Macaca fascicularis: one gene and its partner. The protein of the gene in region 1 interacts with the protein of each later gene in a pairwise test. Links are inferred from orthologs where the notes say so. Each region holds a gene or a part of one and is shown on either strand. Other genes may lie near its edges.

Region 1 (3,041 bases):
CGTAAATAGTTGTTATAGACTGTATTTTAAAAATTTTGTATTATTTGTAAATTTTTCTGAATATTTTCAATCCATGGCTGTGGTGAAGTCCTTGGATGCAGACCGTGTGAATACAGAGTGCCGATTTTATCCAGGACTTCACCTGTAACTCCCTATACCTATCAATAGCTGACTCCAAATTAGAAAGAAATAAGAGTAAGGGAGTCTCAGGGAGAGAGTCCTAGCAAAACGGATTCGATTAAACTTCAGTTCCTTGTATAGTTTCTCTAGTTGTTTATGGTCCATCTTCTATTTTAGCATTTATTATTCCATGTAGTCTATCCAAAGACGATTAAGGGAGTTCCAAATGTTTTCCGGAATATTTTGAAAAGAGAGCTTATCCAGTGTACAGATCCTAATAAAGTGCACATTCAGTGTAATTTTATTTTTTAGTATGTTACTTTTTAAATTCTATTTATTTTTCTTTCTCTTTTGCTCAGTAAATTTTGCATGAAACTTTAAGTACTTCTGGCATGTAAACATTATTTGTAAAATAAGTCATGGTTATAATTATTTTTCTCCTGCCTCCTTATGTATTTATTTCAGAAATGAGCCGTCAGACTGCTACAGCATTACCTACCGGTACCTCGAAGTGTCCACCATCCCAGAGGGTACCTGCCCTGACTGGCACAACTGCATCCAACAATGACTTGGCGAGTCTTTTTGAGTGTCCAGTCTGCTTTGACTATGTGTTACCACCCATTCTTCAATGTCAGAGTGGCCATCTTGTTTGTAGCAACTGTCGCCCAAAGCTCACATGTTGTCCAACTTGCCGGGGCCCTTTGGGATCCATTCGCAACTTGGCTATGGAGAAAGTGGCTAATTCAGTACTTTTCCCCTGTAAATATGCCTCTTCTGGATGTGAAATAACTCTGCCACACACAGAAAAAGCAGACCACGAAGAGCTCTGTGAGTTTAGGCCTTATTCCTGTCCGTGCCCTGGTGCTTCCTGTAAATGGCAAGGCTCTTTGGATGCTGTAATGCCCCATCTGATGCATCAGCATAAGTCCATTACAACCCTACAGGGAGAGGATATAGTTTTCCTTGCTACAGACATTAATCTTCCTGGTGCTGTTGACTGGGTGATGATGCAGTCCTGTTTTGGCTTTCACTTCATGTTAGTCTTGGAGAAACAGGAAAAATACGATGGTCACCAGCAGTTCTTTGCAATTGTACAGCTGATAGGAACACGCAAGCAAGCTGAAAATTTTGCTTACCGACTTGAGCTAAATGGTCACAGGCGACGATTGACTTGGGAAGCGACTCCTCGATCTATTCATGAAGGAATTGCAACAGCCATTATGAATAGCGACTGCCTAGTCTTTGACACCAGCATTGCACAGCTTTTTGCAGAAAATGGCAATTTAGGCATCAATGTAACTATTTCCATGTGTTGAAATGGCAATCAAACATTTTCTGGCCAGTGTTTAAAACTTCAGTTTCACAGAAAATAAGGCACCCATCTGCCTGCCAACCTAAAATTCTTTTGGTAGGTGGAAGCTAGACACATGAAGGTAAATGAAAGGAAAGGCTGTTAAATACAGGAAACAGTTGCATGTAGTAACACTAATATATTTAAAAATAAGTCAACAGTAAACCACTGAAAAAATATATGTATATACACCCAAGATGGGCATCTTTTGTATTAAGAAAGGAAGCATTGTAAAATAATTCTGAGTTTTGTGTTTGTTGTAGATTGATTGTATTGTTGAAAAATAGTTATTTTGTTTTGTTTTTGCGTGGGAGTGTGTGCGTGCGTGGGTGTGTGCGTGTTTGGGTTTTTCTCCTTTAACTGACAAGCCATCTTGAGTGGTCATGGGCCACTGCTTTTCCCCTTTGTGAGTCAATACATAGTGCTGCTGTGTGCTTTTTTGTGTGTGTATTTGCTAATTTTTATTAATTTTAGTTTTTCATTAAATAAATTTGACTTTCCTTTCTGTAATTCAGGTTTTTCTTCACTTTTTTTGTACCATTTTAAAGTTAGTGTCTTTTGATATGCATACTTGTTATGGTAAAAGTTTGTAACATGTGTTCAATATTTTCTTTTCCCCCATTAATCAGTTCATTAGAAATATTTTAAAATCAGCTACTTTGTGAAGCTATGAGTTCCAGAAAGTAAAGGTGACATCGGAAAAATGATCAAAAGCTATTTAAAGCATCTGTAAGATGGTCTCTCTCTTTCTCTCTTCTACGGATGAGTCACACCTTTGAGCTTAATCTTTGAAAGGTTAGAGAATAAATTGATTTTTATAAGTACTGCAAATCAGGCTTTTGTTTCCTTTTTCAAATATCTTGGATAAATCACATGTTTAAAATTTGTTCTTGTATTTATTGGTTTTGCAAAAGAAGGCATCGTCATGCACAGTATTTGTAATTAAAAGCAAATCATTTGTTTAAAAAGGCAGTTTGCAAAAAAATGTTTTTGGTCTTTTATAATTCTCATTAAAAGAATTTCTGGCAAATTAAAAAAATCTTACTGTGTCTGCTTTAGCTCTAAGTTTGATAAAATCCAAAGTTATTTTCCTGTTTCATTCCGTACTTTAATTATATAGCAGAAAGCTGTGTGTTGTCATTTTTAAGTGTGGTAGAGTTATACTCTAAATCACAGCAAATAACTGGGTATATGGCTTCTGGATTACAGTCTTTCCCATGCTCTGCCCCTCTTGCCCACATTTTGATTCTTACAACTGTCAGGAGAATGACTAAAATGCTGACCACTTTTCACCTCTTTAAAAAAGCACAATGAAATAATAAATTTACTATTTCATAGCCTAGTGGTTAAGAGCCTTGGTTCTGCAGCCAGACTTCAGGCACCTAAGTGCCAGTCTCGGCTCTACCCCACTAACCAGCTGTGTGACCTTGGGCCCCAGTTTCCTAATGTGTAAAGTGGGGTTAAATTATGGTAGCTACTTAAAAAGTTTTAATGGGGTACAGGTATGTTACCTCAAACAGTGCTTTGTTCATATCAGCATCCAGTGAATGTTAGCTACCATTATGCCTTT
Region 2 (3,656 bases), on another chromosome or scaffold:
GTTATGTCAAAGCCGGAGTCCTGGGTACATGTGATTTGCACCACGATGTGAAGGCACACTCTTAACATGCAAGAGTCCATCTGAGAGAGCACTTTCTTTTCAAGCCTGAGATGTTTCATGTTACAAGGGTTTTGCCTGCTCCTGGGAGAACCAGTCAAGTTGCTGCTCCTTGAGAATTAACAGAACCACAGAAATGGAGTTTGAAGACGGTGAAGTTTCTAAGGGTGCAGCGAGAGGATCACGGAAGCCTTTCCATACTGCACCGATAATTTTGGCTTCCTTAATAAGGCCTCGGTCCTCCAGTGATTTAAAGAGGGTACCGAAACTGCAAGAAAAGTCATGTCCTCCTCCTCCTCTTTGTCTCCCCCTCCATAAAGAAATCAGCATTTCCTGCATTTGTATCAGCTTCTCTGTAAATGTTAAAGAACAAATTTGGCAGCCTATAATTTAGATGGTGACAGAGGTTTTGGCAGGTAAAACCCAGACTTCCAGGACTGGCTGGAAAGTAAACTTACTAATTATTTTAGTTAGATTGGCAGTCAAGGTGGAAAAATGAGAGCTAATTTATTGGCAAATACTCTGTTGCTCTCAGAAAATGTTGAAGGTCTTTTGGTGCTTTAGGATGTGTGCCAGTCCAGGGTGGCCCTGACCTTCTACAGCCGTTTCAGAGAGGATGTGCCTCAGGTGGCCTGAAGATACAGTAGCCTAAAACTTAGCACACAGTCACTGATTGAGAAGCTGAACAGGAATAAATTTTGAGGGCAGAGATCCTGAAGGACATGACAAGTATTTACAGGGTACTGTAAGATGGAGGCGGCGGCGGCGGCGGTGGTGGAGGCGGCGGCTGTGGCGGCGGGTACTGTGGTACCGGAGGCTGGCGGTACCAGTGTGGATTCCAAGTGATCATAACAGGTACATATAGTGATCTTCCTTGTCCGTCTCTTCCCACTGGGTACCAGGCGAATCCTACTGGGTAGGTCGGGTATGCGGCATATGTGGGGTACGTTTGGTATCCAGGTATTTGAGGTACGAATTCAGTGTACGTTGCCAGGTGCGCTTGGTCTTCTAAATTTGGAATAGATAGGCGAGGATACTGATTCTGGATAGTAAAATTGTTTGGAGCTCGGCAATCGTAAGAAACTTGCAGTTTCCACCCCCTCTTCACCTGGAGAACTTGGGCTCCATTAGGTGCGATCGTTGGAGTAATCAGCCCATCTTTCACATTTCTTGCCACAAAATCTCGAAGAGCTGCCATTTCAGGTTCAGACAGTGAGTACACATGTCCGCTGGGAATACTGTGTGCTCCAGGTATCATTTCTATGTGAGGGTCAACCAGGCGGTGATCTGGGTAGACGTGCTCATCTACTGGAGTGTACACATTCTGGACATAGTAATATCTCACTGGTTGGTAAACTCTGTATCCATCTACTGGATAATAGAGTGGCGGTTGTTGTGCTGGCGGTGGGAGCGATGGTGGTATTGGAGAATACATCCGGCAGTGGTAGCGGCAGTATTCAGAATCAAAGACAATAGATCGAGTGCTCCATGTGATGTTGGGATCATGTGTGCTCAGCCAGCGAACCCCTAGGACGACAGGGAAGAATGGAGACTGAGTCACATCAAATGACAGCACTTCACGGTGATCTCCCAGGTCAACTATCAGGTCGTGAGTTTCGTGGACAACTGGGCCCGATGCTATGGGGCGCCCATCAATTGCTTCCACAAGTATTGGCCAGTCCTTGATTCTTAGAGGAATTCCATTTTGAGCAACGTATTCGTGATCAATGAAGTTGCCAGAAGCACCAGAATCGATCATGGCTCGGACGAACAGGGTGTGTCTGCCCGGAAGATGAATCTGGAGCATCACTTGCAAGTGTGGAGATGAGGCGTCATCTTGTGGGGACCTTATTATTTCTGGCCCGGTCGCTGAAGGTCCCTCTACAGCGGGGCCGGGGAGTTTCCCGCCGGCGAAGACTTCGAGGCCTTGGCAGGACAGTTGTCAGCGTAGTGACCTCCTGTTCCACAGTAGAGGCACAGGTTCAGCTTTCTGCGTCTTTCTTTTTCCTCCTGGGTCAGGCGCATGCGGGCACCTCCCACCGGCTCGGTTGGATCTACCTGGTGGTGGCTTGCAACGTGAGGCAACACCAGCGCCCGGGGTGGTGAGCGTGGCTTGCGAGCTGCAGCAGCCCTGGCCAGCCTTCTCTCAATGTGAATGCACTGCCCAATCAGAGCAGACAGCGACTTGGCGACCTCGAGGTGGGAGAGCTCCTCCTGAATGTGGTCGCTGAGGCCCTCGTGGTACTGGTCAATCAGCGCAGGCTCGTTCCAATCCAGGTCCTGGGCAATCATCTGGAAAGCATTGGAATAGTCGATGACAGACCCCATGCCTTGGCGCAGGCGTCTGATCTTGCGTTTGGCAGCCTCTCGCCTCTGAGGGTCTTCAAAGACATGCTTCATTTCCATCATGAAAGCTGGGTAGTTGTGCATCAGGTAGTGGGAGCGCTCCAGCTTTGCTGAGGCCCAGCGGGCAGCACGGCCGGTCATCATGCTTGTCACGAAACAGACACGGACACGATCAACTGAGAAATCTCTGGTGCTCTTTTCCATGAAGATCTGGCACTGGGCCATGAAAGGAGCCAGCATGTCTGGGTTGCCATCGAACTTCTCTGGAAGGTCTTCTGGGCACTCTTCCTCTATTGGAGGGGGTGGGGCAGCAGCTGCTGCAGCACCGCGGAGCTCGATGTCATCATCATCATCCTCAGGGGTGGGTTCCACTTGCTCTCGAAGGGTGGTGTTCTCCTCTGTGAGCTTCTGCACCTGGTTCTGCAGGTTGCTGTTCTCCTCGGACTGCTTAATGACCTTCTCTCTTAGGTTGTTGATCTCTTCAGAGAGCTCATCCCTTCTTCGTTCGGTCATGTTGGGGACACACGCGCTCTTATGGCCGGTGTGCTTGGAGTTGTTGTTGTTGTTGTTGTTGGGGGGAGGGGGAGGGGGAGGAGGTGGGCAGTCGGGACCCAGGGTGACGGTTGGGGTGGGAGGAGACCTCCCAGCTGTAGCTTCACTTCTGTGGGGATGGAGGCCTGGATCCTGGCCCCCTCTTCCACTCCTTCTTTTTTTTGTTTTCAAAATCCGCTTATTTCTGTAAATAAAGATAAATGTATAAATCCAACTTATAGATTCAAAGCAGCAAAATGCAGACACAAAGGATTTAGTGTTTAAATTATCCCTTGCTCTATGCACTTACTTTAATAATTAGCGAACAAAGAAAACAAACTTTCAAGAGAAAAGTATCAATCAGTACCATAGATAACAAAAAGGAAACTACTTTTTGATGTTCAAATGACCTTGTCTTCCTCAAAGGCCACCTGTTCATTATGATTCAACAATACATCATCAACAGCATGCTTACCTTTATAAACTATAAAAGAATGTTGAAACCCTCTAAACAAGTAGTTTTGTATTGAAACAGAGGAAGAAACTTCAAGGCAAACATAGATACCAAATCAATTATGCAAATTAAAGCCAAAATAATAACTTTTCTTACTAAAGAAGCTAGGCCAAAAATAGTTAATACTACAACTAATAGAAGCTAATTAAAAAAGAGGGGAGTATTAAAATCACAATGCATGTATTCATCAGCCCTGTGGGTGGGAGGA

What was found.
Region 2: the proteins of SIAH1 (region 1) and PEG10 interact in binary tests that used the Homo sapiens proteins (3 or more experiments, as listed by UniProt). The link is inferred for Macaca fascicularis from reciprocal best matches to the Homo sapiens genes SIAH1 and PEG10.

What each region holds. Positions count from the first base shown.
Region 1 is NC_088394.1:44,266,602-44,269,642, reverse strand, and holds the end of SIAH1 (E3 ubiquitin-protein ligase SIAH1), read left to right. Parts: intron 1-585; coding exon 586-1,436; coding exon of another isoform or gene 1,437-1,539; 3' UTR 1,540-2,510; downstream 2,511-3,041. Other genes in the region: LONP2 (lon protease homolog 2, peroxisomal), read right to left, coding at 1,420-1,539. UniProt on the Homo sapiens protein: E3 ubiquitin-protein ligase that mediates ubiquitination and subsequent proteasomal degradation of target proteins.
Region 2 is NC_088377.1:126,682,987-126,686,642, forward strand, and holds part of PEG10 (retrotransposon-derived protein PEG10), read right to left. Parts: intron 3,140-3,656; coding exon 1,939-3,139; coding exon of another isoform or gene 791-1,938; 3' UTR 1-790.